4 linked regions of the Callithrix jacchus genome follow. The protein of the gene in region 2 interacts with the protein of the main gene of each other region in a biochemical or structural test. Links are inferred from orthologs where the notes say so. Each region holds a gene or a part of one and is shown on either strand. Other genes may lie near its edges. The genes, in order: ANOS1, FGFR1, FGF6 and FGF8.

What was found.
Region 1: the proteins of FGFR1 (region 2) and ANOS1 form a complex in vitro, tested with the Homo sapiens proteins (3 studies listed by BioGRID and IntAct, with this or other methods). The link is inferred for Callithrix jacchus from reciprocal best matches to the Homo sapiens genes FGFR1 and ANOS1.
Region 3: the proteins of FGFR1 (region 2) and FGF6 interact in a biophysical measurement, tested with the Homo sapiens proteins (2 studies listed by BioGRID and IntAct, with this or other methods). The link is inferred for Callithrix jacchus from reciprocal best matches to the Homo sapiens genes FGFR1 and FGF6.
Region 4: the proteins of FGFR1 (region 2) and FGF8 interact in a biophysical measurement, tested with the Homo sapiens proteins (2 studies listed by BioGRID and IntAct, with this or other methods). The link is inferred for Callithrix jacchus from reciprocal best matches to the Homo sapiens genes FGFR1 and FGF8.

The regions. Positions count from the first base shown.
Region 1 is NC_133524.1:8,701,273-8,708,946, reverse strand, and holds part of ANOS1 (anosmin-1), read left to right. Parts: intron 1-23; coding exon 24-195; intron 196-1,161; coding exon 1,162-1,382; intron 1,383-2,505; coding exon 2,506-2,647; intron 2,648-4,117; coding exon 4,118-4,176; 3' UTR 4,177-7,674. UniProt on the Homo sapiens protein: Has a dual branch-promoting and guidance activity, which may play an important role in the patterning of mitral and tufted cell collaterals to the olfactory cortex. Chemoattractant for fetal olfactory epithelial cells.
Region 2 is NC_133514.1:39,241,019-39,248,748, forward strand, and holds the end of FGFR1 (fibroblast growth factor receptor 1), read right to left. Parts: intron 6,986-7,730; coding exon 6,782-6,985; intron 5,627-6,781; coding exon of another isoform or gene 5,626-5,626; coding exon 5,481-5,625; intron 5,245-5,480; coding exon 5,123-5,244; intron 4,686-5,122; coding exon 4,575-4,685; intron 3,843-4,574; coding exon 3,652-3,842; intron 2,732-3,651; coding exon 2,609-2,731; intron 2,460-2,608; coding exon 2,389-2,459; intron 2,117-2,388; coding exon 1,979-2,116; intron 1,843-1,978; coding exon 1,737-1,842; intron 1,630-1,736; coding exon 1,453-1,629; 3' UTR 784-1,452; coding exon of another isoform or gene 727-783; 3' UTR 575-726; downstream 1-574. UniProt on the Homo sapiens protein: Tyrosine-protein kinase that acts as a cell-surface receptor for fibroblast growth factors and plays an essential role in the regulation of embryonic development, cell proliferation, differentiation and migration.
Region 3 is NC_133510.1:17,823,954-17,831,615, reverse strand, and holds part of FGF6 (fibroblast growth factor 6), read left to right. Parts: intron 1-3,318; coding exon 3,319-3,495; 3' UTR 3,496-7,662. UniProt on the Homo sapiens protein: Plays an important role in the regulation of cell proliferation, cell differentiation, angiogenesis and myogenesis, and is required for normal muscle regeneration.
Region 4 is NC_133513.1:94,724,935-94,733,160, reverse strand, and holds the start of FGF8 (fibroblast growth factor 8), read left to right. Parts: upstream 1-3,111; 5' UTR 3,112-3,229; coding exon 3,230-3,261; intron 3,262-3,353; coding exon 3,354-3,390; intron 3,391-3,904; coding exon 3,905-3,991; intron 3,992-4,208; coding exon 4,209-4,389; intron 4,390-5,080; exon of another isoform or gene 5,081-5,528; intron 5,529-6,722; exon of another isoform or gene 6,723-6,815; intron 6,816-7,574; exon of another isoform or gene 7,575-7,586; coding exon 7,587-7,693; intron 7,694-8,226. UniProt on the Homo sapiens protein: Plays an important role in the regulation of embryonic development, cell proliferation, cell differentiation and cell migration. Required for normal brain, eye, ear and limb development during embryogenesis.

The sequences.
Region 1 (7,674 bases), on a different chromosome or scaffold from region 2:
ATATTCTCTTTCTCTTGCTCTAGGAAAATTATATAATTCTTCAAGATCTGTCATTTTCCTGCAAGTATAAGGTGACTGTCCAACCGATACGGCCAAAAGGTCACTCCAAGGCAGAAACCATTTTCTTCACTACTCCTCCATGCTCTGCTCTTAAGGGGAAGAGCCATAAGCCGGAGGCCTGCCCTGGAGAAGCAGGTATGTTTTCACCTGAAGGACTTCCCCACATCTAGGTCTAAGGTGTCAGCAGCAATTTCCAAACATTGCCAAACTGCATTTCATAAGACCATAAAAACCAAAAGTGTCCCTCTTTCTAAGTTATGTTATGATGGCCTGATGTGGAAGGAAGATATTTAGGAATGAATGTGTTATTTTATAAGTCTAACAGCCTTGGAAAGATGTCCTTTGATAGTAATATTATCCCTTTGGAAATGAAGGGAAACATTCAGATGCCGCTTGTGTTTTGGCAAAGTTTGATACAATTATTTCATTTGTATCCCATCCCTTTGCTGTGTGGATTATATTCACACACTTTCCATGCCAATGCAGCAAACCTGACATGTGTACCTTCCATCCCCCTTCTTGCCAAAGCGCCTGTCTTGCAGTGGGAAAAACTCTATTTAAATGTCCTGGATTTGGCCGGACATGGCAGCTCATGCCTGAAATCCCAGTACTTTGGGAGGCTGAGATGGGAAAATCACTTGAGCCCTTGAGTTCTGACCAGCGTGGGCAGCATAGTGCAATCCCACCTCTAAAAAAATGAAAGAAAAAAAAAGCCCTGGATTTAATAGCTCTTCGAACAACTTTAATATTTACCTTCTCACTGCAGTCATTGCTATTCTTTAAGAAATAGTTAAGTCTTGCCAGGGTCTTAACTGCTCTCCTGCTTCCATCTTCAAAAGATCATTCTAAGAAAGGATCCCCGAAGGACTGGAAGAAACATTTAGCACAAAGTTGTAGTGATGAGATTCCTACTCAACCTGTCCCTATATGTCAAAGGGGTGATTGCCTGAACCCATGTTTAAAGAACAAGGTCAGATTGTTTCTATTAATATCATCCCACAGACTAGCTGCTGAACGTTCCTACGATGAATATACAATGGATCCCATGGTCACACATTCTCTAGTAGCCTAATCCTGGTTTTCCTTCTTGCATTGCTGCAGGTCATGTTCTTTCTAAGGTGCTAGCTAAGCCTGAGAACCTTTCTGCTTCGTTCATCGTCCAGGATGTGAACATCACCGGCCATTTTTCTTGGAAGATGGCCAAGGCCAATCTCTATCAGCCCATGACTGGGTTTCAAGTGACTTGGGCTGAGGTCACTACAGAAAGCAGACAGAACAGCCTACCCAACAGCATTATTTCACAGTCCCAGATCCTGCCTTCCGTAGGTGCCCCCTCTTATACTATGTCCTTCTCATTGGTATCTACTGCTCTTTTTTAAGACCTTCAGAGATGGCTGCCTCTGTCATTCTGTGTGCTGTACCATTGAGTCATATTTCTGTATTTTCTTCTTCTGAGTATATCTTTTGCAAGAATTAACACATCACAAATATATCTGTGCATAGTTAAGACGTAGCATAAGCTGCCGTCTAAAGTTTGATGGCTAGAGCCAACTCGTGAAAAGACTGTACCCTATCTTGTGTCTAAGTGATTGTGCCACTTTCTTGTCTTTGTTAACCTCACGTCTCTCTGGTTCAAGTGGACATGCCCTGTTTGAAGTGTTGGATTGGGCGGGGGAGGGGGCAGGTATAGCTAAAATAAACTTGTTTGTCTTTCTTCCCCTCACCTTCAAATTTGGCTCAAGCCCATAATGAGTTGGCCTGTCTTCCAGGCAACTTAATTCCTTAGTTTCAAAAAAAAAAAAAAAAAATCATGTGTGGGATTTTACCAGCTCGCTGAAAATGCCCTTGGAATAGCCAACCACCATTAAAAAATTCAAAAAGGGAAGAAAAAAAAGAAGAAACACAACTTAAATCTCAGAAAGAAAAATTCCATGGAATAAGAGAGTAGTTATTCTAAATGTACTAGGTTTTATTGAGTTTTGAGAAGAGTGTATTGGCATAAAAATAAGTATTTTTACTTATGGGCATTGACAGATATTGTGTTTTAAGAAAAATAGTTGGCTCATTTACTGAAAATTGGAAATTATCAAGAATTCGCATCACAAGATGTGCAGCTGAAGACTTTAAACCATGGGAAAGTCTTATGTTAAGGAATAAAAAAATAAATAAAATCCCAGGAGTGAGCCCTGAGAACTGGCATCTTGGCACATTTTAACTCTGCCAAATACCTTAGGCTGCCAAGAATTGAGTGAGGTGCTAAGAAATCATATGGCAGAGAACCCCCATAAATGAGGAAAAATATTTCTCTTTGCCTTTACGAAGCAACCAAACTTGCCTATGTATGATATTCTCGAGTAGGGGAAGAACTGTCCTAGCCTATCTGCACACTGTGCATCGTCTCTGAAAGGTTGTCGGTGAGCATCCTCTTTCACCTTGCCCCCTTAGGATCACAATGTCCTAACAGTGCCCAATCTGAGGCCGTCCACTCTTTACCGACTGGAAGTGCAAGTGCTGACCTCTGGAGGGGAGGGGCCAGCCACCATCAAGACCTTCCGGACGCCGGAGCTTCCACCCTCTTCAGCGCACAGTGAGTGGGGTGCCAGGGCATTAAGGTGTCCTGTCAGATCTTGTGGACACAGAAAAAAGTCTTGCTGGAAAATGAAAACAAATAAATAACACTATTACAGGTTTCTATGAGATAGGGAAGTTGTGATCACCTGAAATTCTTTCTCCCTGTTTGTACCAGCTCACTGGACTCTATTCCAGGTACCTGTAGTATAAATTGCATAGCTGATGCTTAATTGCTCTTTTTCTCCTTTCCTTCCCATTTTCCCCTTTTCTCCCTTTTTTGCTCCTGCCTTTTTTCCTTTCTCCCTCCATTTCTCCCTCCCTCCTCCTTTCCCTCTCTTCTTTTCTCTTTTCCTCCATCCTTCCTTTTCTTTCCTTCCTTGCATTTTTCCCCATATCATGCTTCCTTTTTTCCTTATCTTTTAAACCATAAATGAATATGGGAAAAAAAATCTATAGTCTCATATCAGTCTGAAATATTTTTAAATCAAGATTTTCAAATATCAAAATATAGGAAATAATATTTTGCTAAGGAACATTTTTTCTTGTCACATAGATATTAATTACTGTAATATATGTCATCAATTTTCTTCATGATATGACCCAAGTCCACCTACTTCATTTATTGCTAAATCAAGTCCAAGTTTAAAAGAAAATTGTCACCTAGATTTTCAAAACAGCCTCTTGCTGATTTTTAAATTACGTACTTCGTTTACTTTATTTTCTAGCTTAAATGTAAAAACCAGTGTCTAATGATAAATGTCTAGTGGATAAAACATTGAGAATTAGTCATAGTTTTAACTCTGATTATTTTAAATGATAGATTAAATTTGCCCTAATAAACTTGGTATGCTTATAATTTGAAGAAAAACAATACCTAGGCTGGGCTCAGTGGCTCACGCCTGTAATTCCAGCACTTTGGGAGGCTGAGGCAGGTGGATCACCTGAGGTTGGGAGTTTAAGACCAGCATGACCAACATAGAGAAACCCCGTCTCAAAAAAACAAAGAGAGAGAGAGAGAGAGAGAGAGAGAGAGAGAGAGAGAGAGAGAGAGAGAGAGAGAGAGAGAGAACAAACAAAAACTATCACAATGGGAGAGCTTGATAGCCTCTAAAATTTTTGTCAGATAAAATGCTTTTCTGATATTCCTTCATAGAAATTCTATTTAACAAAAGTTGTTGATAGTTTTTAACACTTCTTTGAGCAAATAAGAAAGGATTATGGTTTGACTGAATAATTGTGAGCTTAAGGAAAGGAACTTGTTTTCTTTTTCTTGTTATTTTATGGTTTGGGAAGGCATCAAGGAGAAAGAGAAAAACAGGGAAAGGAGAGAAAGAATGTTTGTACATTCAGATTCAGAATAGGAAAGACGGGGTCATAGGAAGGAACATTTGCCTGGGTCTCATGTTTTTTCTACAAATAAAAGTAATTCAATCATTTATTTGATATGTATAAAGGGATGTGACTGATATATTTTGTCACTTTTTAGGATCTCATCTTAAGCATCATCATCCACATCATTACAAGCCTTCTCCAGAAAGATACTAAACTATTCAGGAAGATTTTTAAAAATTGCACAGATGTGTAAGCTTGTTGAACTTTGGCCACGAGACATGCACACTTACAGAGGCAATGGGAATTGCTCAGAGGCCCCAACTCTCCTATGTGACTTTAGTGCAGGAAGAACTTTTGTCAATCACAGATGCATCTGGAGACAAGTGAGAAATAGTTGACTGGTAAATACAGATACCAGCTCCCTACAAGAATGGAGAAAATTAAGAATAGGCCTGTTTAACTCTAAATTCTGTTTTCATGTATGGTATCACTCATTTCTATAGAATTACAGCAGAACTCAGTTTTCCCTGAATTTGGAGCACCAAACTCCTCACAAAAAAGTAGAGTAACAAATACACATTTCACATATAACACTAAGCATAAATCTAATCAATAAAATATATTTTTGACTAAGTTATTGATTTGATATGAAAAATCAGATTATACAGCTTTGTTTATTTGAATCTTTCATAAGATCATTTTTATCCTCAGTGATTTGTAAATGAAAATACATAATCTAAAATATACCAGCGAATTTAAATCTAAAAATGCTTCTACTTTAAGTACCTTATGCTGCTTTTTAGACAAAGGTAAATGAAAGTTCCCTCTATAAATTATGGTTTACAAGACATCCAAAACAGAGAAACTCAATGAAATAAGCTGCTAACCAGATTTTACCTTGGAGAAATGAAAATTATTTCCTGGGGATGCTTTTTAATATTCGATCCCATTATGTGAGAGATTTTCCTGATATGTTATCTTATTTATATTTTTCCCTTATTTTCCTCAATACAGATAATAGGTGTTGGTGTACTTTTGTTTCACCAACTGAAAATTCACAAAACTTCTTGCTTCAAACGAAAAAAATCCCAACTATCGAGCATGTTTAGATCTTTGCAGAGATTTGTCTTTTCATAAAGCAAGCTCTTGTATGCTTGAATTTTATTAGTAATGTTAAAAAAAGGGCTTTGATTGATAGAGAAGGACAGTTACTTGTATTTAATTCATCTATATGCATTCAAATCTATTATATCTTACCTTTTGGAAAATTTTATGCTACAGATTACTCCCTTGTAGCATGAACTTTAGTCAAAACATGTTACCAGTATAGAGTGTTGCAGTGTGTATTGTAACCTAAAATGTAGAGATGTTTAATACTGTTTTTTTCTTGAAGAAAACACTCACATACATGGTTTGAAATCTGCATAGATACGCGTGTCTATATACACACAGACACATGCATATATATAAAGAGACCTTGAGCATGAATCTCTGAAGAAATCATTTTCATAGCTCACCAATGGTGAGTAAAGATATAGCTCTTTTAAAGGTCATGAGGATCATACGTTTTCCCCATCAATGCTGATTCTGAGAAAAGAGTGATTTGTCAAAATTAAACACTGTAAAAGAAAGGTGCCCCCATGTCATTACCTACCTAAGTAAAACAGAAAATCAGAAACCTTATCCTTAGATTTTGACAATCGTACTTGCTTCTTGTTGTTTTACTGTTTCCTGAATTCATGCATATGCCTGACCATTCCTGGAAAGAGTGGAGAACTCAGAAGTCATTGACTCCACGGGGCTTCACTGCAGTGTCTAAAGGCAAATGCAAATTAAAATGCAGAGAAAGTACTTTTATGATGTCGATGGATGTGTTTAGGAAACACATTTATAAACATGGATACCCAATAGTAAATATTGAAACCTGTTTCCTGTGTGTTAAACTATATGAAGAGTGGATATTACAGCTTTGTACAAGTTACTCAAATTGGACGCCTCAGAACGAAAGTTCATGTAGGTTCTGAATGGTTTTCTGCAGCTACTGTCACAGCTGGGATGGATTTATCACACTGAGTTGTGAAATTACCTGGCTCTAATAATTTTTGAATGGTGAAAATGGAAAACAGTCTTTATTTAAAAACATCCCTAAACTTAAATAAACTGATACCACAGATATCTTCTCTAAAACTATGCTTTATTCTACTGCCATTACCAGCATCTGAATTTCAAGTTCTTAAAACTTTTGAAAATTAAAATTTTTCATTATTGGCTGTTTATCTTTTTCATGAATTTGTCATGAACAAATCCAAATATTGATGCCAGCAAATTTTTGTACTGTTGTATAGTTAAAAATGCTGGGAGTCTATACATAGCTACAAAATATTATTAAATTATTACATTTAATTTTATAAAACTTAATCATGCTTCTTTTGTCTGGGTAATAGAGATTGGACAGATATTTTTAGTTCATATGGTGATTCTGAAGCTTACATCTCCCTTAAAAAATCTAAACCAGCTCTTATGGGCTTCTAATTTTGCTATAAATAAATAATTTAAATTTTATTGGTGTTATTAGAAGAAAAACCCTATTAATGGGGTAATAAGTGTTTCTCTTGTGAATTTTAATAAGCTCCAATATTATTCAGATGATCAAAAATATAGTTGCAATTTTTTGAATTTTAAAAATGTGATTGCTCTAATAAAGGATAAAACCTATGTTTTTAAACAAACATAGTTTTGGTACCTAATCCTGTAATACGTTTTATTGAAATTAGATGCATTTCTCTAATGTGAGAAAACTATATCCAGTAATGCTATTGACTGTTTAAAAAATTAAGCTTATCAAAAATGTTATCAAATACAGGTGGCTAATTTGATATACATTGCAGTTACATGCATTATTTTTATTTACAACATTTGCTCCTTAATGATGATTTATCTGTGTTACTCTGTTTTTCTACCTGGAATGCCATAGAATTATTTTTGCAAACCAACGTCTGCTCCTTTCAGTCGTTCACTATTTTAATATGACATGGTAGACAAGATAAAGTTTTTGGCAGGTAATTTTTTGTAATGTGGATTAAACAAAGTTCAAAGATTAGATATATATCTATGTCCTGAAAACTGTAGATACATAGCTGACTGTATACACAGGTTCATCTCAACCTCAACACTATTGACTTTTGGGGCTGGGTAGTTCTCTGTTGTGAGGAGTTGTCCTGTGCACTGTAGGTTTTTAGTAGCATCCACAGTTTTTCCTTACCAGATGCCAGTTGCACCTTCCCCCAAGTTGAGACAACCAAATATGTCTCCAGATATTGCCAACTGCCCCTGAGGGTCGGTACCTCTGGTTGAGAACCATTGCTAGAGAATGATCTTTACTCAGTAGATGAGAACTTGGCCTTTATAGGAAACCCAGTAAATTTCTACAACAAGTCCCAAAAACTAAGGGAAAGCTAAGACGTTATTATGGTTGACTTCAAAGGCCTAAACTGTGTCTTTTATGTCCACTAAACAACCTGATTAAAAGATGGAATTGTGACTTGTGTCTGTGTTATACAAGTACAAATACTAATTTTGCCCTGTGTATCCATAAATGTCATTTGTGATATTGACTTATTTATTTAATGCCCTTTCTTATGCCGTGGTTTTCAAGTTTACTCGTTTCTATGGTTGCAAATAACTCTAAAACTTATTATATAAACTTTCTCA
Region 2 (7,730 bases):
CCCAAGTTCAAGGGATTCTCCTGCCTCAGCCTCCTGAGTTAACTGGGATAACATGCCTACCACGCCAGGCTAATTTTTGAATTTTTAGTAAAGATGGGATTTTGCCATGTTGGCCAGGCTGGTCTTTAACTCCTGACCTCAAGTTATCTGCCCACCTCGGCCTCCCATAATGCTGGGATTACAGGTGTGAAGCTTCCTCTTAATCACTTTAGCTCTACCCCGTGTCGCTATTCCTAGGTAGGTGTCCCCCTCCCCAACTCAACCCCACAGGTTTCCTCAGAGGAAACCATCTGTGGTCAATGGCTGCTGGGCCTTGGCCCTCTGCCCAGCGCCTCTAGTGCATGGATGGGGGTTCCTGCCCTTGATGCAGACATCTTCTTTTCCTGACTTTCCAAAAGTATCTGAGAGGCAGGAGGTGTGTCGTGAGGTCTGGGCGCGGGACCTAGGAGGAAGAGGTTACAAGGAACCTGCACAGGGAGCGTGCGGTGCCCTTGTGACAGAGCCAGCCCCAGAGCCTGTGAGTGTCCCTCTTCCAGTGGACATTCTTGCCCTTTTCACACAGTCCATAGAAAAATGAAGCAGCAGCAATTTTTATTGAGGGACCTAAACTGAAAATAGGTTTAGAACATAATTTAAAAAAATAAAACAGCAAAAGTAGCAAAAAATATATGACCTTTTTAAAAACATTTTCTTTTTTTTTCTTTTTTCTTTGATTTTAATATATAGCAACTGATGCCTCCCAGCCACCTGGAGCATCTTACCCGATGGGTAAATCTCTGGTAATGACCCTTTTAAAAAGACATGTAAATATATACTCAGATTTATACACTTTGTGTTTTCTTCATAGCTATGTACAGAGCCCCCAGTTTGGGGCTGAGCCCCCGGGCCACAACACTGCCCCCAACCTGGCCTTTGCCTCACCATCCTCTGGTACCATGCATTTGGTCAGTAAAGCAACTATCAGAATTAATAAGCCACTGGCACCACCTATCTGGAGCAGAGGTCACCTTCAATCGAGGCCCAAAGTACTGATCTCCCTACTGCTGTAGCCCTGAGGACAAGGCACCTGCCGCCAGAGTGCTAGGGACTTCTGGGTAAAGGCGAAACACACCAAACCCAAATGAGAAAGCTCAGAGGGCTCTCACTTGCATGCCTGTTCATCGGCTCCCACTCCCCACTTTCCAGGCAGCACCTGGTGGCAGGGAGAGGTCTTGGTCCAACATCTGGGAGGGGACGAAGTGGCCAGCAGCAAGGATCTGCCTCTTTGCACCTCTCACTGCCAGGTGGAGAGGAGGAGGAGGAAGAGGTAAGCTGAGCGAGGTGAAGGCAGGCCACACAGGAAGGCCCCTGGTAGACAGCCAGCTCCTGCCAGCAGGAAAGGGGACAGAGATGGACGGGCGGTGGGCCTGGCAGGGGCTGTGGGTGAGGATTACAGCTGATGGTGGGTGGCAGTCAGCGGCGTTTGAGTCCGCCATTGGCAAGCTGGGCTGGGTGTCGGGGCAGGCAGGGCTCCTCAGGCAGCGGCTCATGAGAAAAGACGGAATCCTCCCCTGAGGAGCACGTAGAGCTCCGGGTGTCAGGAAAGCTGGGGGAGTACTGGTCCAGGGGCATGGACAGGTCCAGGTATTCCTGTGAGGGGCGAGAGGAAGCAGCAATGGGCTCGGCCCCTCCTCCCTGCTCAGAGAGGTGCATGCGCGCAGTGGGGACAGCCTGAGCTCTGGCACAGGTAGCCTTACCTGGTTGGAGGTCAAGGCCACTATGCGGTCCAGATCTTCCACCAGCTGCTTGAAGGTGGGTCTCTGCGAGGGCACTGCATGCCAGCAGTCCCGCATCATCATGTACCTGGGGCAGAACTGTAAGGTCAGGGAGGAAAGGCTGCCTCCTGGAGATGGACACCCTTTAGTATAGCCCCCTGCCCCTCAAGCCCATTCTTGCCCCAGGGCCTGGCTTGGGGCCTCCGACATCTCCTCAGACTTACAGCTCGTTGGTGCAGTTACTGGGCTTGTCCATGCGGTGACCCTCCTTCAGCAGCTTGAAAAGCTCCTCCACAGGCACACCGGGGTATGGGGAGCCGCCCAGAGTGAAGATCTCCCACAGGAGCACCCCAAAAGACCACCTGCAGACAGATGCAGAGCTATGGGTGTTAGAGCTTCTCTGCCTCCCCTCCTCCAGCACAAATCCTCCACCCAGGGCAGTGCCAGGAGACAGCGTGGGGAACAGATCATCCTTTCAACATCTGGAGCAGAGGCAATGGCCACAATGTTTTGCTTTTCTCTTGGGGCGAAAGGACTCCTCTGTCCAGGGGGAATGCAGGACTCTGCAGTGGTGGAAGTTCTTTATCCTTTCTTTATCCCACACCTCCCTGGCAACTGCTTATTGCAAACTCACACATCACTCTGGTGGGTGTAGATCCGGTCAAACAATGCCTCGGGTGCCATCCACTTCACAGGCAGTCGGCCCTGCAAGCAGCACCGGGGAGGTTGGGGTGGCCCCAGGCTGGGCCGTGACACAGGTGGGAAGGGACTGGGGGTGGGTTTTCAAGCCATCCCACCCACCCTTCGCTTCTCAGATGAAACCACCAGCATGGGGCGGCCCTGTTGGCACTCACGTTGGTTGTCTTTTTATAGTAGTCGATGTGGTGAATGTCCCGTGCGAGGCCGAAGTCTGCAATCTTCATCACGTTGTCCTCTGTCACCAGGACGTTCCTGGCGGCCAGGTCTCGGTGTATGCACTGAGGAAGGAGGAAGGGAGAGCAGGGGGAGGGGAGGGAGGTGAGGGAGCTGGAAGGCTCTGGGGGCCACCACCTGTGCAACTGGCCGACTTGCCTCACAGACTTCTGCCTACACTATTCTGCCCCGAACCTTTGCTTTCCCTTCTAGAATGTTCTCTGCCAGCTCCAGGCTTCTCAATCATCACAGCAAGTGCTCCTCCCTTCCCTCCCCGAAGGCTGGCCCTTTATGCCTCTGCTTTGTCTGACACTGCGCAGGTTCCTAGGTCTTGCCTCCCAGCAAAGCAAGTCCACACTGAGCTGGGCTCAAATCAAGCTAGCGCTTACACACCAAACACTGCACTCAATGCTCATCGTTTCATTTTATCCTCATAACAATTCTACAACATAGGTATTATTATACTTTTTTTTCTCCGAGACATAGTCGTGCTCTGCTGCAGTGGTATGATCATGGCTCATGCAGCCTCAAACTCCTGGGATCAAGTCAGCCTCCCACCTCAGCCTCCGGAGTAGCTGGGACTACTGGCACACAGTACCACACCCAGCTAACTTTGAAATTTTTTTTTTAAAGACAGGGTCTCACTGTTGTTGTCCAACCTTGTCTCAAACTCCTGAGCTCAAGCAATCCTCCTGCCTTGGCACTGCACCCAGCTGATGTTATTCTTATTTTGTACTTGAAGAATTATAAGAGGCTACACAGAAAATGGCAGTGTACAGATCTGACCCTACAGCAGTCTGACCCCAAGGCCACTTGGCTACACTGGTTCTCCTGACTCTGGTTGCCAGAGAGCCTAAGACAACGCACAGGGCCCGTGCTCAATGCATCCACAACGCCACCACAAGATGACAAGTCACAGGCTGGAGGACTGGGAGGGCTCTGTTCCCACCCCAGCAATACCCAGGGGAGCTTTCAGGGTCCACACCTTCTTGGAGGCCAGATACTCCATGCCTCGGGCCACCTGATAGGCGCAGGACACCAGGTCCTTGGAGGAGAGCTGCTCCTCTGGGTTGTGGCTGGGGTTGTAGCAGTATTCCAGCCCCGGGGGCCTCCGGGCCTGCAGGTACTCCCGCAGGTTGCCTTTGGAGGCATACTCCACGATGACATACAAGGGACCTGCGGACATAGGAGGAAGAGGCCATGCAGCCGGCAGCAGGTGAGCATGTTTGGCATCACCTCATGGAAACCCCACCCCCAGCAGCACACCCCAGCCAACCTCCCCTCTCCTGCCTCCTTTTAGGGGACCTGGGAAATCCATTCTACCACCCTAAGAAAACCAGATAAATAGTTATTCCTGGCATAGTCCAGAAATTTCCCAAGCAATGTTGGGATAAGAGCCTGTTTATTTATTTTTGAGATGGAGTCTCGCTCTGTCACCCAGGCTGGAGTGCAGTGGTATAATTTTCGGCTCACTGCAACCTCCGCCTTACAGATTCAAGTGATTCTCCTGCCTCAGCCTCCCAAGTAGCTGGGATTACTGTCATGCACCATGCCGCCTGGCTAACTTGTATTTTTAGTAGAGATGGGATCTTGTTAGCCATGCTGGTCTCAAACTCCTGATCTCAAGTGATCCTCCCACCTCAGCTTCCCAAAGTGCTGTGATTACAGGCATGGCCACTGTACCCAGCCTGAGCACCCTAATTTAGACCATAATTACTCAGCTGTCTCTGTTAACACACCATGTGTGTGAATCTAGGTATCTGTATTCTTCGATGAACACATATGGGCTGAGCCCAGACCCCAAGAAACACATTTTAACCTCTGCCAAAGCAGCCTCTCAACCCCCTTCCCTAACAGCTCAGACCTTCTGCCTGCTGGGGAGGGAAGGCCAGCCTGGCCGGGACCCACCATCCTGCGTGCAGGCCCCCAGTAGGTTGATGATGTTCTTATGCTTCCCGATCATCTTCATCATCTCCATTTCTGAGATCAGGTCTGACAAGTCTTTCTCTGTTGCATCCGCTTTAAAGAACATGTTGAGACTCATTTACTTTTGGAAGGGAGGAGGGCAGGAGAAAGGCTAAGGTAGAGGGGTATGTTCCGAGGGGCCGCTTTTCTCTTGGACTTGATTCTCTCCTCCCCACTTCCACCTTCCCTCTCATGGGAGTTGTTGCAATAGGTGGTAGTGAGCGGGGAGGGATGTGGGGAGAAATGTCAGCAACTGATAGATCCAGGATAAAAACCTAACCATAGCCCAGGTTGATGCCAAGAAACAGAGTGAGGTCACAGAACAATCTCAGGGTGCAGAACACCCCCTCCACTCCCAGGTAACCCCAAGCAGGCAGGGGAGCAGGTGTGGGCAGCAAAAGCACCAGAGAAGCTGCTCTGCTGGGCCTGAGGCTTGCTGTTTGCTTGGAATGGGACAAGATTGTCTCTGCAAGGACAGAAGCATCACTTACACTTCAACATCTTCACAGCCACCTTGGTCACACGGCTGGGTTTGTCCTTGTCCAGTCCGATGGCCTCTGCCAATACCACCTGCCCAAAGCAGCCCTCTCCCAGGGGTTTTCCTAAGACCAGTCTTTCAGGGAAAACAGACAGCGGCATTAAGTTGGGGCTGGTGAAGTTCAAACTTTGAGAGGCACCCCATCTCCACTTCTGTATTTCACCCAACTTCGAGCAGAAAATGGAAATGAATGTTTCTGCAGGCATTTCACACACCTTCACTGCCCTGAAGGTGTTAGTATACACACCTTCTACCACTAGAATAGCAAGCAAAGGATGCCTTCAAAAAGTTAGGAGTTAAAGCATTGTTACCTGTCCCGAGGCAGCTCCCAGCGAGGGTCTTCGGGAAGCTCATACTCAGAGACCCCTGCTAGCATGGGAGTCCCACTGGAGGAGAGCCGTGATGGCCGAACCAGAAGAACCCCAGAGTTCATGGACGCACTGGAGTCAGCGGACACCTGCAAGGAAGAGTGGGGTCACCCTAGAGCAAGGAGCGGGGACAAGGGCGACTCCTTTCCATTCCTAGTCAGGGCTTCCCAACAATGGCAGAGGCACGTTTCTGTGTATCTCATGTTCTTTCAGCAATACAGAGTGGTCCGAAGACCACAGGAGGCCCAACTTCTAGGACTGACCTATTTCTGCCACTGGCTGGCCTTTCTGGATTTCACTGACCTTTAAAATAAGCAGATCAAATGCACCTCTTCCAGCTTGATACTTTATTACTGATCACTGCAGTAACAACTCTATTCTCACAACTCTGCAAATACTTTGCCTTAGCTTATGGACTCCAAACTCCCAAAGCACCTTCCAGAATGAGCATAGGCTTCTGAGGGAATGGTCATTCTTGCACACACCTGTACCTAACAGTTTCCTTCCATGGGGAAGGGTGGGCACACAGGAGGACAAGGGGATAGTATGGTATGGCTGATATGGTTGCTGTGTCCCCACCCAAATCTCATCCTGAATTCCCACGTGTTGTGGGAGGGACCTGTTTTTGGTGGGAGGTCACTGACTCATGGGGTAGATCTTTCTCGTGCTGTTCTTGTGACGGTGAATAAATCTCACGAGATCTGATGGTTTTTAGGAGTTTCCCTACACAAGCTCTCTTTTCTTGTCTGCTGCCATGTAAGACACGCCTTTTGCCTTCTGCCATGATTGTGAGGCCTCCCCAACCATGTGGAACCTGTGAGTCTATTAAATCTTTTTCTTTTGTAAATTGCCCAGTCTTGGGTATGTCTTTATCAGCAGTGTGAAAACTGACTAATACATACGGTCCTCTTCTCTACCCTGCATCTCTGCACTTCTAAGCAGCCCTTGGGGACAGTTCAAATGCATGCTATTGGCTGCACATTCCATCCAGATAGGACTTCCTCCCAATCCATGTGCCAGGGGTCTGGGGGACTTTCAATGGGATATGAAGGGTGCAGAAGATTCACAGGCTACACTAGCTTAAAACAGACTCTGGAGCACTTAGTTCATGACATTCTCCTGTGCCTGGCTCAGAAGCCACAAAGCCAAGCCCAAAGCTGTAGATTAGGGACAGTGGAGAGGCCAGCGGATTAGAGGCCCAGAGAGAGAGATGGTGCTGAGTGTGCAAATCCCCCATCTACTTTCTGTTACCTGTCTGCGCAGAGGGATGCTCTTGGCCAGCTTGTGCACGGCCATCTGGCTGTGGAAGTCACTCTTCTTGGTGCTGCTCTTCATCTTGTAGATGATGACCGACCCCACCATGCAGGAGATGAGGAAGGCCCCTGTGCAATAGATGATGATCTCCAGGTACAAGGGTGAGGTCATCACGGCTGGCCTCTCTTCCAGGGCTGAGTCAGTGCGAACAGGGTGTTAGCAGGTTTGGAGGGCCCTGTCCATGCAAGGCTCCACTCCCATTAGAAAAACAACACCTATCTCCTGTCCCCTGGGAACTTTCAGGGAGAAGAACCATGTCAGGTTCTAGCTAGGACTAGGATTGTGGCCCTAGGAGAATCGAGACAAGCCCCTGATCTCAGAGGCTGCCTTCAGTGGACTGGAGCCATGGAAGAGGGGTGGCCTGGAACCATGATGCTATGCAAGTCCCATCCTCATTCATTCCTGGGCCTCCTTGCTCAGCTGGACTGGACAGGTACAGGCAACCAGGGACTCTGTAAGGGCCAGCTGAGAAGTCACTTCTGTGTGCCTTTCTTGGTCTCCTCAGGGAGCCATGGCCCTTCTCTGCAGAGCCTCAGCTCTGTGTGCATGCACGTAACACACAGGGACAGAGGTGTTTGAGTCCTCTGTCCCTAAGAAGCCACAGGGTCCCTGAGGGCAGGGCTGGTACCTTATTTATTTTTGCAGGCCACAGCACCTGGTGATGGTGGCACTCACAGAATGAGGACAGAGGACAGGAGGTGAACCAGCCTGCACCCTGCTCAATGTCCCACTTGGGGTCTGTGTCATCTGTGTCGAGTCACACAGGTAAATACTTACACCTAGTCAAACCACAGGCAAAGCTGACTTCATTTCCAAAAATAAGCTTTTTTTGGTAGTGCTTACGAATTCTACTTACAGGCTTCAACTACTAAAACTTAA
Region 3 (7,662 bases), on a different chromosome or scaffold from region 2:
AGAGAAGCTCCTGCTGAGGGCACGTGGTTCAGAGCCAGCATCAGCCTCTGACCTTACTCTCGCTTCCTGCTCTTCCAGGTCAGCTCACTGTCTCCCAGCCACCAAGGTCAAAAACTGCAGAGCTTAAAAGCTAAATTGTCCAGTAACCCACAGCAAGTCTTATGGGACTGGTGATCCAGGGTAAGGCAGTCTTTTAAGGTTTTTAATGTAAAGTCGCTCATGATTTACTTAGAGAAGAATACTAATAATGATTTTTTTTAAATTTTACTATATAGCAAGCATTGTTCCCAGGACTTTCCACGCATTATTTCAATTAATGCTTATTCCAGTTCTACGACATAGTTTTTCTTACTGTTCCTACTTCGCAGAGGAGGGAACAGTCAACTTTGGAGGTTAAATGATTTGCCAAAGCTCACATAGCTAAGTAAGAGGCTACTGTCATCAGTCTAACTTGAAAGCTGTGGCACAAAAAAAAACACATATTGTGCCACGATGTTGATTAGTTCATCCTTGTTTACCAAAATGGGCGTCCCTTCATTCACCCATTTGGCAAATACGTACTGAGCATCCCTAACGAGGAGAACAGGAAAGCTTACGAAAACCCATCCCCCTCATGTGGCATTAACCAGTTGATATGGCTGGTGAATGTCTTCACGTTTATCTCAAGCAAGTTAATATCAGTAAAAGTGCTTTGTAAATAAGCTGCAAGCGGGAGAGAAAAACATAGGGAAAACGTATGAGGGGGAGTTTCACTGTGTTCCCATAGGCAAGGCTGTCCCCTCACCCACTCCCACATCACATTGAAAGAGCCCCCCATGCAGGGATCCTCTTATGTTTCAGTGTTGTCCTTATTTACTTATTTGTTTATTCTTGAGGCAGGATCTCACTCTGTCGCCCAGGCTGGAGTGCGGTGGAGCAATCGTGGCTCACTGCAGCCTTGACCTCAAGTGATTCTCCCACCTCAGCCTCCAGAGTAGCTGGGACCACATGCATGCGCCACCATGCCTGGCTTTTTTTTTTAATTTAAGTTTTTGTAGAGACAAAATTTTGCTATGTTGCCTAGGTTCCTCTCAAACTCCTGGGCTCAAGTGATCCTCCTGTCTTGGCCTCCCAAAGTACTGGGATTACGGGTGTGAGCCACCAAACCCATGTTGTCCTTATTAAACCAGCACTGACTCAGCATCATGTACCATGCAAGACACAGTCCTCATCTCGGGGATCTTGTAGTCTATTGGGAAAGAAAGTATGGCTGTTCAAAATGTTGCCAGAGAGGTCCACCAAAAGGGCTCTGGGAGTCTGGGGCCCCTGAGAGGCAGGCTACTTACCAGCCCTTCTGAAGAGCAAGAGCCAAGAGCTTCTCATCTACCGACATTGCCGTCCAGGTACGATTCCTTCACAGGTCAGAGAACACCGCTGGCACAGCCCAGCAGCCATTGAGTGGGGTTTTTTTAATGCCTGAGCAAGAAGGAGTCAGAAGTTATCCTCCACCCATTTCTCATTCTATAGTTCTTTTTAAGAGTAGATCCTGGGGCCAGGCATGGTGGCCCATGCCCGTAATCCCAGCACTTTGGGAGGCTGAGGCAGGTGAATCATGAAGTCAAAAGATCAACCCCATCCTGACCAACATGGCTAAACCCTGTCTCTACTAAAAATACAAAAATTAACTGGGCATGATGGTGCATGCCTTTAGTTTTAGCTACTTGGAAGGCTAAGGCAGGAGAAGTGCTTCAACCTGGGAAGCAGAGGTTGCAGTGAGCTGATATCATGCCACTGCACTCCAGCCTGGGTGACAGAGCAAGACTCCATCTCATAAAAGAAGAAAAAAAGAGTAGATCCCAGGTCTCTGGCTCCCACCTGGCTCTGTTCTTCTAGCTCCCACCCCCACAGGAACAGGGAATACCTGCACACTCCTTCAGGGCAGCCACCCACCCAGGCGGGTTGCAGATGAAAGAGCCTTCTTTTCTAGGAGAGAAGGAGGACTTGGGGGTCATGTACTAGGAATGAACTTGTGCATGTGAGGCAGGAAGTTCAGTGTTCATGTTCTGAACAGTGGTCCACACACACTCCTCTATCACATTAGCATGGAAAGGGCCATTTTTTGTTGGTCCCAGTCTCCTTGGTGTCACTATCATATTGGGAACCAGGTCTTTTTCCCAGTAAAAATCCCTGCTCCTCACCATCTCTGTTCCTGCATATCCCTAGAGAACTAGGATTGTCTAGGACAGAAGTTCCCAACCTTTTTGGCACCAGGGACCAGTTTCATGGAAGACTATTTCCATGGACAGGGTGGGGGATGGAGGGACGGTACTGGGACAAAATTGTTCTACCTCAGGTCACCAGGCATTCTATTCTCATAAGGATCATGCAACCCAGATCCCTCACATGCAAAGCTCCCAACAGGGTTCTTGCTGAGAATCTCATGCCTCTGCTGATCTGACAGGCGATGGACTCAGGTGGTAATGCAAGCGGTGGGGAGTGGGGATAAAACAGATGAAGCTTCGCCCAGCCACCGCTCACCTCCTGCTGTGCAGCCCGGTTCCTGCACTGGCATGGGCCACTGGCTGGTATGGGTCTGCAGCCTGGGGGTTGGGAACCCCTGGTCTAGGAAGTACCAGACATCTAGGCTTAAAGTCAAATCTGAGAATGGGCCTATTTGAGGGATAGAAAACTTGGGACTTAAACCAAGAAAGGTGGACTGAGGAACCACAGATGGAAAGAAAGAGAGACAGCGCTGGAAAGGGCTTAAGAGAGCGTCTGTGTCTCCTCCCCCTCACCAACCACCTCTCTCCTTCCCACAACACACACAGTTTGCAGAAAAGAGAATGAGGCTGAAAGGGGAGGAGCCTGCCCAAGGTCACAAAACTGGGAAGTAGAAAAGTCACGAAATAGCACCCTGGGCTCTCATTCCTGCTCCAGTAGACTCCCTCTCACCGTGCACTTGAGAAAACAGCGTATTGTATCATTTCCTGGTCTGTTCTTTGAATGGAATAAGTTACCATCTAGGGACTTAGTAGAAAGTTATCTGGAAGTCAGGAGACCCGAGTGGCAGGGCCTCAGCTCTGTCCCACGTGGCACAGACCATCCCCGTGTCCCTGGGCCTTCTAGTAAAAGAGGGAAGAAGGTGAGAGGAAACCATGAGAGTCTGCAGCCTCTTCCCATCCTAACCGCCCACCATTCTGTTCACCCAGGATGCTCAGACCTCACAGTGGGAAAGGAAGGGGCACCCAGCAGAGGGGCCTACTCTATGCAGCCCAGCTGGCATCTGCAGCACTCCTCATTTGTAACCCAGTCCCTGCTTTTTGCCCATGTCTTTCACAGCCCAGCTTCCAAGAAGAATGCAAGTTCAGAGAAACCCTCCTGCCCAACAATTACAACGCCTACGAGTCAGACTTGTACCGAGGGACCTACATCGCCCTGAGCAAATACGGACGGGCAAAGCGGGGCAGCAAGGTGTCCCTGATCATGACTGTCACTCATTTCCTTCCCAGGATGTAAGGACCCACAAAAGAAGGCTCACAGATCTAAAGCAGCAAGTGTCCTACTGGAATTTTGCACAAGCAGATAATTCCCCTTGCCCTCCATGGCTTCTGAGTCAGGCTTATTTTGCACTTGGGGAGACCCCAGTTGTTGCCCTTGGCTGCTGGACCCCATGGCATGTAGCCCATTCAAGTGAGGGTTGCAATCAGCACCTTAGAATGGCAATGGATCCCATGCTCTGACCTCCCTGGAGGAGAGAAGTATCGGTGACACTTGAGGAATGTGACCATGTGCAAAGGAAAAGGCCAGGGTAGGGGCTTGTGTGCATTGTTGTATATCTATACAGCGTTCTATATATTCTCAGAGCAGAGGCATTTCAAAGCATCGAGTTTCTCTCTCCCAGCATCATCACTGCAGGAATCTGCCTGTACAAATGTCACTTGTCAAACCAGTATGATTGATGTGCGCTCCCATTCTGCCTTGTTCCAATCATCTTTCCTTTCAGAGGCTGCTGACCACGTGAGTTGCACAGGCCAGCAGGGAGCAGCCATCCTCAAAGTGCAGAGACAGCAGGGTGAGAGGTGTAAGATTGTATTGCAAACCCGAAAGAAAGTGATCAGGCACTTCAAGATTCCTGCCAGTGAGGGCTCTGGGGATACTGGGATGAATTGTCAGGGAAGCTGGGGGGAAGCTGTTTCCTTCTTGGAGGAAAGGGGTAGAGCAGCGTCCAGGGCAGCTGGGGAAGGCTTGTGGAGGCAGCAGAAGGCACTGGATGTTCTAGGAGAGCCACTCTGCCTGGAGAACTCAGGCTGTATGTGGCTCCAAGAACAAGCAGGGCCAGGCTGCCTGCCCATAATGTTTCCTCACTTTGAACTGGTCTTATTTTAACCACAGATGACAAGGATCCTAATAATGGCAACCTCTTTGGCGAGGGATGAGGACAAAATAGGGCATGAAGGAAGTAGAGAGGCTTTGGACTACAGATGGTAATTCCTCTCCAACTATGTCCAGGAAATGCACCCAAGTTCTTATCTGATACCCTCACTTCCTTCTTGCTCATCGTCATCTCACATACACGCTGTGCCTGGATGCAGCAAAATGGGCACAGTGACCTCCAGGGTTTGTGCGCTCTTCCTCCCTGCAGTAGAAGAGGAGCGATAATCCCATGAAGTCAAGAAGCCAAGCTGAAGCAGCTCCTTGCCGCACGATGCCTTCTTGCCTTCTGTCCCTAAGATGATTTAAAGCAGAGGTTCCCCAGCTGACTATAAATGTTGTCTGCCTGGAGCCTTCAGATTCCCAAACCATTGGAATGTTCCTAAATCTGAAACCAGAGAGAGCCCTATCAGAGTGCAAATATTTTTGGCATATATGAACCATCGAGTTACAAAATGACCTGACACCCTCTGCGACTCCCGGGGGCCCCGGCCTGCAAGACAATCCTCATCTGTTGCGAATACCTTCATCTTCAACATACCTTACTATTTGCAGTTGCATCCATCTGTAGGTGGATCCGGGCAGAGGAATTCTGAGCTGAAGATGGAGGTCGGTAATCGAAGGGAGAGACACCTCACCGGCCACCTCCTCTGCCCTGCAGATGTCAGAAACGACATGTGCTGGGTGAGGAGGAAAAAGCCACACCAAGGTACGTGAAGATGGAAGAGACAGTAGAAACCCTGAAGCACGTGTGTGTGTGGCCGAGCCTCGGATGTGGTAGAAAAGGGAGAAAACTAGTCCATCGTGACTCTTTGGAATATTGAAGTGCAGGTCTGCTTGGAGGCAGGGATTAAGCTGACTGGTTTTTAGGGAGTCTTGTTCAGTGCAATCAGTCTCTTGAACAGGGTCCATCAGGAATGCAGGCACCCCGAACCTGAGGTACGTATCAGTTCCCAGTGGAGCTTGGAGTGTGGAATGGCTGGAGGATGGCGTGACTATGATCCAGAGAAAAAAGGAGTTTTAGGTCCCATAACATAGGTTCCCTTCTTCCAAGATCTTTCAGCTCACATGGCATGAGAGGAGCCATCTTCGAGAGAATCCTCAAAGCCTTGGACTGCCAGCCCTTTCCTTCATCTCTCTAGAGAAGCATAACATTGCTCAAATCCTGGCAAGGTGTTTCCCCAAATGTCCACTTTCATTTTCATGCCAGGAATGAGAAGGAGAAGCTAAGAAATGCCTACAATCAAGCAGGCATGCTATTCAGCCACTGCATAGCAGTTGCACCAGCACCGGTTATGAGGGGCTGGGTGTCTGTCTAACTGGTACCAGGGCCCATGCTATATCAGTTGCTAAATATTTGGAGGTTGGTTGTTTGTGACAGGGTCTTGCTCTGTCACCCAGGCTGGAGCACAGTGGTGTGATCTCAGCTCACTGCAACCTCCACCTCCTGGGCTCAAGTGATTTTCCTTCCTCAGCCTCCTGAGCAGTTGGCACTACAGGTGTGCACCACCATGCCCAGCTAATTTTCTTTTTCTTTTTTTTTTGGTAGAGACAGTGTTTTGCCATGTTGGCCAGGCTGATTTTGAACTGAGCTCAAGCTATCTGCCCTCCTCAGACTCCCAAACTGTTGGGATTACAGGCATGAGCCACCATGCCCATCTGGTTGCTAAGTACTTTGAATACCACCTTTAGATGCAGGGATGTGTGGGTGACTCCTTAAAATCCTTCCCATGCGAAGAAATTCTCTCAAGGGCTTTCTGTTTTCCTATAAGTGACTTTAGGCTTAAGAAAAGTCAATCCTTGGCTGGGTGCGGTGGCTTACACCTGTAATCCCAGCCTTTTGGAGGCCGAGGCGGGTAGATTGCCTGAGCTCAGGAGTTTGAGACCAGCCTGGGCAACATGGTGAAACCTCGTCTCTATTCAAAAAAAAAAAAAAAAAAAGGAAGGAAAGAAGGAGGGAAGGAAGGAAGGAAGGAAGGAAGGAAGGAAGGAAGGAAGGAAGGAAGGAAGGAAGGAAGGAAGGAAATGCCAATCCCCATCCACAGAAGTGGATTAAGAGACAGGACCAGAGTAAGATCAGCAGGATGCATTTCAGTCCCTTCTCTCTGGCTTCTGTATCTGTGCCCTGGCATGAAGAGTTGTTTCCTATCTGGTCACATGTCCACTGAGTGCTGAACTCGGTTGTCAGGCCCATTGGATCCCAAAGGCTGCAGAAGACATTGCTATATGCAGGGCAACCAGAGAGCCCCACTTTCCCACTGAAGATGACTAAGACTTGGCTCTTCCATTCCCCGAGTGCTGAGCAAGGAGCCTGGTTTACAGAGCTTTGTAGCCAGTTCACCTCCCTTTCATCCTGAACCTTCTTTGGCAGCCCCATGCAAACTTGGAGTTCCGAGGGCAAAGAGGCTGTTTTATTCTCTCTTCAAGAGAAAATAATAAAGAGGAGAGCAGCATATCTGCACACACTATGAGATGCACCTCTCAGCTGCAGCTGAAGAGGTTAGCTTAGAAGCCATGGGGGAGCCCCAGGCTCCTTGTAAAATGTCCACCCTTTTCAGGGCAGTAGATGGACCTCATAGGAAACCAGGAAACTCCAAATGCCTTGTTCCAGCTGTTGATTATGTTTGCTTCATCAGGCACTGCCTTCTAACACCCTTCCCTTCCCACTTCCCATACATGTTTGAACCTCTCTGAAAGCAGCATGCAATTTTGTAATTAATACCCTACCATCATCCTCCGCAGCCTTCCCCTCCGCGGCCACATCCCACAGTGCCCTGACACCCGTGCCAAGCCCTTGGTCAGGGCCGGTCTATGGCCTAACAAAGACAACATTTTCTTCTGCCATCTGACTCCGGGTACAAACCCCTCTCCTCTTTAGACATAGAGGTATCTCTCCTGCCCAGAAACCCAGGCCTGAAATTCTCTCCTGACCCTCGTCCTGTCCTGCGCAGTTTACAGTTCTCCTTCGACGCTGGTTCTGGGCCACTTTCTTGTCCTGGACCTCAGACCCTTCAAGTTCTTGTTCTATGCAGGTCCTGAGAGAAGAAAGAAACAAGAGAGTCCATTCTCCTTCCTCCCCGTGTTGACGCCCGCAGCCTTTGCCCATTGTGTGCCACAGTCACTGATACAAACATGTCTACCAAATGCACATCTACAAACATCCTGCAGGATTTCCTCTCTGCCCTCTATCTCCTTCTGCCCACTTTCAAGGGGACACAAGCTAGAAAACTCCTTTGTCCTTCTATCCCAATG
Region 4 (8,226 bases), on a different chromosome or scaffold from region 2:
GAGGGGTGCGTTTGGAAATAGGCTGACAGACTGTGTCTGGGTCCCGGCGAGGGCGTGTCTGCGGAGAGGGGCCGTTTGTGTTGGCTAGGAGTGTGTGTTTGTGTTTGCAGGCGAGGGAGTGTGTGTCTGTGCGTGTGTGTGTTTGTGTTTTCGGAGTGTGGGGGCGGCCGAGAAAGGTGGCCGGGCTGTCACTTAGCGATCAGGTTGACAGGCGCTCCCTCATCTGGGCCCAGGAGCTCTGATTGCAGATTCGAGGAAACAAAATAGCAATTGTAATTACCGGGCTTTGATAAGATAAAGGAGGGAGGGAGCTGGCCGGGAGGTGAGCGAGCCAGAGAGGGAGGGAGCGGCCTGCGGGAGCCCGGCGGGACATTTGCATCTGTCAGTCACGGGTGTGCCCGAGCCGAGCCAGGTGCTTGCTCCCGGGGTGTCCCCATCTGCTCCTCTCCCCCACAGATAGGGACTTTTGGGGAGATGAGAAGAATTTCAATGAACTAGGTGAGGGTCCACTTCTCAGGAGGGTTTCCAAATCCAAATGTAAAGGAATCCTGGTCCAGCACAGGCTTCCTGGCAGAGGCTGGGACAGGACTGAAACTTGACCTCTGACCCTTCAGATCCCAGGACACCCATCTTCTCTGGGGCAGAGGAAGGAGTGTGGCTGAAGACCATTGAAGCTCAGCCCAGGGCCCTCAGAATCTTCTGGGGGCTCCACAACCGGAGCTGAATGCTGACCTCTGCCAGGGGCTCTGTCCCTATCCCCATTCCAGGGAGGGGAAGGTGCTCCTCTGGCTGTGACCCCAGGACCATGCACACACTGTTGGGGGTGGGTCACCCTCACCCCTGCCTGGGGCCTACTCCCTGCTCTGCTCATCACACTGATGTTCAGAGTCCATGGTGAGAGAAAGCCTGTTTCTCTCAGGAAGTGCCTGTCCCCTGCTCTCTATCTCTCCATTCATTCATTTGTTCATCATATTCACAACTAAACATGGTTGAGGGCTGCTGTGTACAGGGATGAGGGTAAGACCACGAGCAAACAGACATCGCCCTTGCCCTCTTGAAGCAGTGCAGAGAGGGAAATAGACACTCAAGGAATTGTGACTCAGGCCTTGAACAGAACACAGGGATGGCAAGGGCTGGCTTGGGCTGTGGCCACTTGAGCCCACCTGACTTTCTTCTGCCTCATGGGCTCACCTCCCCATGAGCTTCCAAGGAGACAGTGCCTACCAAGCCTGTAGCAGATACAAGTGCTCATAATTCGTGGTGCTGATGATGATAATCTTTTGGGAGAAGGTGAAGGCAGGTCTTCCTGGAGAAGCTGCAAATGAGCTGAAGTCTAAATGCTCAGCCACTTTCCCCATCACTCATTTATTCATTTAATTTCATTCATTCATTCAGTGAACTCTTAACTGCAGAACAATTCTATCCAGCATTGTGCCACGAGCTGTGATTTCTGAGCCCGTAAGACATGATTCTTGCCACAAGGTCTGTGTGGGCAAGAGCCCACTGAACAGACTACTGAAGTGAGATGGCAAGTGTGCCCAGGAAGTCTACTTCTCTGAGGAGGGATAAGATCTTGGAACACACCCTCTGTCTTTTCCCATCTCTCCATTGCTCAGTGTTTGCATTGATGTCTAGGAGTCAGAAAAGATGGGGCCCCGTGAAAAGTGGGACTCGGAACAGGGAGGGAGGCAGGGTCTAGTTGTGTGCTGGACTAGGGCTGCCTGCTCCCTTTGGCCTACTGGCTTGCTGGACCCACACCAAACCCTCCAGCCCTACCCCCAGGGACATGGAGGGTCAGTGGGGAAGGGTAAATTGTGGGTAAAGGCAACAGCCTGGTAGGGCATCACCTGCTCCTCACAAGGTACCTGTCCCAGGACACCCTCTGCCTACCCAGGCTGCTCCTACAGAAGCAGTGTGGGGGCTCAGGGTTTCCAGAAACCTCAAGGGGGAAGCCACGAGATGAGGGGCTGGGAAAGGCTTAGACAATTGCCTACCTTCTCCTCTGCCCTAGACCCAGCTGACCAGCCCCTGCCTAGAATACAGTAGATGTGTAAATACCTGTGAAATGAAAAATGAATGGGGCTTTGAGGGGGAAAAGGCTGGGTGGCCTCCATCGAAGTCACTTCCCCCAGGAAAAGCTGCTCAGAACAGTTATTTTTGCCCCTGCTGCCTGCTGGGGTAGGGGGACAGTGGGTCCTGCCAGGCATCTCCTGGCTCCCTCTTCCACACAAGTGGCTCGGGGTGCCCCTTAAGCTTCAGGCTAGTGTATGTGTGTGGTGAGGGGCACAGGGGAAGGGGTAATGGTGATAATGGAGTGGGGGGAGGGGGAGGCATTTCTGGCTCCCAGGGCCTCCTCGGGAGACTGAGACTGGGGAGAGCGGCAGGGCGGGGCACGCGGCCGAAACGGGAGCAGGGTCCGGGTGACACCGTCACGCACTGTGCCAGGGCCGGGTGCGCAGCCCTTCACCGCAGGGTTAGCGGCGCTGCTAACAGGCTGGCCTGGCAGGACACACAGTAGGTGGCTCTGAGACCAAGGCGTAACGGGGTGGGTGGGGGGAATGAAGCGGCCCGGCCCCGAGGCAGAAGACCCAGCCCCGCCGGACTCGGGCGCTCCGGGAAGCCCGGGCCCAGGGTCTCCCGGCCCCGCAGAGCCCGAAGCACCAGTCGCCCCCATCCCCGCGCGTCAGGGCCCCGAGAGCTCGGGCGGGGGGGGGGGTAGGCTGGGGATAGGGGGAGGCGTCCAGACCGGCCGCCCCCACCCCTCCCGCGGGTCCCCAGACCCCTCCCCTAGCCCAGACCCCCAATCCTGGACCCGTGGGCCGCCCCGCCCCGGCAGCCCCGCCCCCGCCCCGGGCTGCGTCCAGGCCCCAGTTCCCAGCCGGGGGCTGCGGGCTCCCGTCGCCCGCCCCGCGCTCCCCCTTCGCGCCCGGTGCGGCGCCCCCCCGCCCCCACCCCTCCCCGCCCTCCCACCTCCCCACCCACCCTGCCGGCCCGTGACCCTCCCGCCCGCTCCGGCTCCCGAGCAGCCTGCGGCCACCGGCTCCGGCAGCGGCGCACAGCGACTCGGCGCGGCGCGGCGAGCACGACGTTCCACGGGACCGGCGGAGCCGCGTCGCGATCGCCGCCGGCCTCCGGCACCCGCACCCTCTCCGCCCGCGCCCCGCTCCGCGCGTCCCCCCGCGGGACGGCGTGATCCTGCCGGGCTCTCGGTGCCTCGGGGCCGCGCGCCATGGGCAGCCCCCGCTCCGCGCTGAGCTGCCTGTGAGTACCGCGCCGCCCTGCCCTGCCGCCCGCCCGCTGCGCCCCTCGCCTCACCCGCGCCTCTCTCTCCCGCCCGCTTTTGTCTCCCACAGGCTGTTGCACTTGCTGGTCCTCTGCCTGCATGCCCAGGTGAGGAGCGCTGCGAGGAGGCGGGGACCAGGCGGGCCGGCGGGAGACCCGGGTGGGCAGCGCCGGGCGGGGGCACCAGGACTGACCCTGTGGCCGGCCCGGGAGGGCTGAGGGCACCTTAGAAACCCAGCCCCGAGCCACCCTAAGGAGGGAGCTGAGGCACAGAGAGGTAGCGCCCTGCCTGAGGTCACACAGCGAGTGGCCAGGATAGGAGCGCGGTCTCCGAGCCCAGCACTGTCCCCCACAAATCCTCGCCGGCTGGGGCATAGGGAACACCTGGCCGCCGAGGAAGGGGGCAGCCGGGACCAGGGGATGGATGTTCGATGTCAGGGGAAGCCGGGTGACTGCAGCAGACTCTCTCCGCATCCCTCGGGGGAGTTTGTGACCGGCTTGGCCCAATGATCGGGTGCCCAGGTCCCCTGCATTCTCAACATTTGCTCCGTAAATTTGTCTTTATAAATGTCAGGGGTCGGGAAGCGCTGCCTCCCTACTTAAAAGCGCCCTGCTCCTCTAGGAAGGCCCCGGCAGGGGCCCTGCGCTGGGCAGGGAGCTCGCTTCCCTGTTCCAGGCTGGCCGGGAGCCCCAGGGTGTCTCCCAACAGGTGGGTCCAGCTTCTCCCCGGGGCTCGTTTATAATGGGCTGGGTCTGCCCCACTTGCCTGGGTGGGGGTTGGTGGCCTGGGGGGGCATGTTGGGGGAACCCCTAGCACCTGCTGGCGGCTTGGGACAGTGAGGGGGAAGCAGGGTGATGGGGCCACTCGGGCCCCTGGGCGGAGTAGCATTATAATGCAGTGTTGTGTATTTTTCAATTTCCTAAAGGTAACTGTTCAGTCCTCACCTAATTTTACACAGCATGTGAGGGAGCAGAGCCTGGTGACGGATCAGCTCAGCCGCCGCCTCATCCGGACCTACCAGCTCTACAGCCGCACCAGCGGGAAGCACGTGCAGGTCCTGGCCAACAAGCGCATCAACGCCATGGCAGAGGACGGCGACCCCTTCGGTAAGGCACGATGAAGGTCGCTTGTGGCATGCGCGGCTCCTGGACTGCCAGCCCCAACTGCATTGGCCGGAGGCCTGTGGGGTCCCCAGCCCAGAAGGGAAGGAGTTAAGGCAGAAAAGTGTCTTGAGGGTCAGCTGGGGAAGAGGGCTGGGGAGGGGGCATTGGGGAGTAGTACTTGGCCACAGGTGCCCCTATCCTGCCCAGCAAATGAATGAATCTAGGAATCTCCCTTTATGCCTCCCCGCTTCATACACCCCTCCCCAGCTGCAGGTGGAGGCAGGGGGTTCAGGGGAGGGGGCCCAGGTTTAAGGGAAGCTCTTGAAAGTGGATATGTCGCCAGGGTCCACAAAAGGAGAGTGGGAAAGAAAAGGGAGAAAAATCCCCTCAACTCTCCCATGTGGAAAAGGGGGTTGCTGGGAACCTTTAAATACTTTGATCAGAAGGGTCAATTACACGTGGGGACTGGGCTTGGAACAGGACTCTCTCTGCTCCACTCTCCCAGGAACCCGGCGGGCTGGGGCAGGACTCCCAGCTCCCTGTGGGGTGGCGAGTGCGGGGAGCTACTGCCGGCAGGGAGGCTGAGAACTGATTGATTTCTAAAACATTCAATATTCCTGCCTTGAAACAGGGCCAATTTCCAGAGTCCTGGATGTACCAGGAGAAAAGCAAGCCCTCTGGGCGGCTGGTGTTTTTAGAGAACGATTATTGTGAGTTTAAAAACCTTTAAATAATGACCACGTTAAACAAGCATGAAAGGAGAGGGGAAGACTCTATTAAAATGTAATAAAAAGGTGAGGCATTTTAAGAGCTAAGAAGAAAAACGAAGAATGATATAAAACAGAAAAAGAACGAGCTTTTTTTTTCAGATGTGGAGTTTGAAAGGAGTTTCAAGTCTGTAAATGTTAAAAAAGAGGTTCAAGATTGTTCTCTCTTAATCTCTGGAGAGACCCCCGCGTCTGGCAGAGCGATTAAAACTCTTCTTACTTTCACCTTTTTTAACATTTCCTGAATACTTTCTCCTCTTCTTGAGCCAGTTTGGGGGATCGACTATGTCTCGCTGCATTTTTTCTGCATCGACGTAGCTGACTTCCCTTCAAAGCTGGAGGAGGAGGCATAATTTTCCTGGGATAAATCTGTCACTGGGGTGGAAGAATAGGTTTGAAAATGTTAAGCTTTCCAAAAGCCCAGTCGGGAGAGCTGCCATAAACTGCGGCCCCAGCTCCCCAGCTCCCCAGATCCGAGCAGATTCCGCCGACCAGGGAGAGAGGGGCTCTCTGGGGTGGGGGTGGGGGCGGCCTGCCTGGTGGCCGAGCTTCCCTGCTGGGCTGGCAGAGCAGCCCTACCATCCCTTTGTCCCTCCAAATTGGCTGCTTGCTGCCCTTCTCAGCTTCCAAGGAGAGGGAGCGAATGCCTGGCTCTTCCAGGGTTTGCTCTCAGAGCAAATGGCCCAGCATCCTTGGATTTTGGGGAGGGAAGCAGAACACACGCTGGTGTGGGGGAATTTGTCTTCAGACATCAGAGGAAGTCTGATGCCCATTTCTCTCCTGGGCCATATAGGAGGTTTCCCACCTTCCCTAGTCCCTGCCCCATGGCAGCATAGGCGCTGGAGGTCCTAAGAACAGAGGCTCAGGGCATTTGGCCAGGACAGGAGGAGTCTGGGGAAAACAGCAGAGAGGTCTCAATGGCTTCTTCACCCGCTGCAGGATGAAGGAGGGCACAGAGGCACCTCCTTCACCCCTGCCTGCCGCATCTGGCCAGAATCCCCAGAGTGGCATCCTCTCACTCCTTCTCCAGTCAGCAGCCTTCCTGGCTGGCCCTTAAAAATAGCCACTTCTTGCTGTGGAAGGCAACGCAGGAGAGGGATGAGACTGGTTAGGTCCAGGAGGAGGTGGGTGCGCAGGGAGGTGACAGCTGCATTTCCTCTGCTGACTTGGGGCCAGACTGGGGGCTTGGCCAATGGGTCCCAGCATAGCATCTATGTGAAGTGGGGGGAAGTTACAGGCTGGGCAGTGATGGCTACCTTGCTGACCTCAATGCCCCCAACCCCTGCCATGGGTTTCAGGGACAGAGGAGGTACCATGTGTCAATGCAGGCTAAATCCCAGAACTGCTTTCTCAAGGAGCAGAGAGGCTAGGCTCTGCGACAGGGAGGGCAGGAGAGCCAGCACCTCTGTCCCTTCCCAAACAGTGGAGTCAGCCTCACTACTTTCTTGGGGACAGCCTGTAAGAGAGGTTTGCATAGCTACGTGAACGGGACAGGCTTTTGTGGCAAGTTGGCTGTCTAAGGGGAAGGGACTGGGGAAGGAGGCACAGAATTCAGCCTTGCTTCCTGACCTCCAGACTAAGAGGCTAGCGGTCCGATTCTCCCTCCTCGTCACCCACCAAAGGTATTTGGTCACTGGGGTGAGAAGCCCAGCTGTGATGAGGCTGAAAGAGAAAAGAGAGAAAAAACAATTGAGTTGTTGATTTCTGGACACTGGGGTTGGGGACCCTTGTGACTGGGAAGCCACAGGGAAGAGGCAGGATCCTCCTGGCAGGTGTCTGAGGTTCTGGGAAAGCACCCTGCTTTGGGCCGTGTGTTTATGGGGAGCTGTCTCCACCCCTAGCACGTTCTCAGCAGAGCAGAGCCTGGCGGGGTTCAGGGGCTGGGGGTGGCCGAAGCTATGAGTTAGAACCCAAACTGGCAGGAACAGGAGAGAATGCTTTTATCTCTGGCCTTGGGACTGGAGGTCACCACTCACCCAGATGTTTGTATTGACCTCTGAGGCACCTGCACATAATATTCGGAGTTGGAGGCTCCTCGGAGGTCTTTTGATTAGCCATGGAACTCTGATCAAATTAAATTTTACTTGGAGCCTCAATCTAAGAGACATCACTGTCTGGTTTAAAAAGAGGGTGGAAGGAATAGCACTTTAGCTTTTGCAATCTGATGGTCCCAAGACCTCTCTTGAGAACCCAATTTGGGGAAAATCATGATCCCATCCACTGCCCTCTGTAAACCCAAGGGTGGGACCTGAGGTCCAGAAAATCACCTTGCCCTTTCTCTGGGTTGCACAGCATAGTAGTAGCTGGGCTGGAGCCGAAGTCCACGTTTTGGGTTCCTGCTCTTTGGAGCAGTTGCTGCTGGGCTGTGACAAGCATGTGGGCCAGCTGGGGTTAGGGATCTGCCAATAACCATCCTCTTACCTTCTCTGACAGCAAAGCTCATCGTGGAGACGGACACCTTTGGAAGCAGAGTTCGAGTCCGAGGAGCCGAGACAGGCCTCTACATCTGCATGAACAAGAAGGGGAAGCTGATTGCCAAGGTGAGGCCCTGGCAGGCAGGTGTGGTTTGCCGGGACCTGGGGGGTGGCTTGGGCTGGCTGGACTCCTCCAGGACAGTCCTGTGCTCTGATCCCAACAGGGTGGCCAGAGGGACACAGGGCTGTCTTGGGGTTACCTCGTGATGGGGTGCAGGGGCGAGGGTGAGAGATGAAAAGCTATAAAGGCAAAGGAGGAAGAACGAAGGCTAGGGAAGGGACTGGGGGGGTTGGTAAATTCCATATATCTTTTTAACAAATCGCCAAATTGCTTTGCTATTATGTCCAATTACATGGTACCAGCATTTGGAATGTTCAGTAAGCCGCACGCCCGGCCCCTCGGCCGAGCTCTAAAATGGCCCCATTAGTCACGGCTCCTCTCCAGCCTCGAGCGCCCCGCTTCCTGGGCTTCTGGGGATGGGGTCTTAGCGTCTCCTCCCAGGCCTCCCCTCCCCCATAGGGTGGCTGCCCTAGGGCCAGGGAGCCAAAGTCCTGAGGGGATGAGAGGGGCAGGTGGGGAGACGGGTGGCCAGACTGGT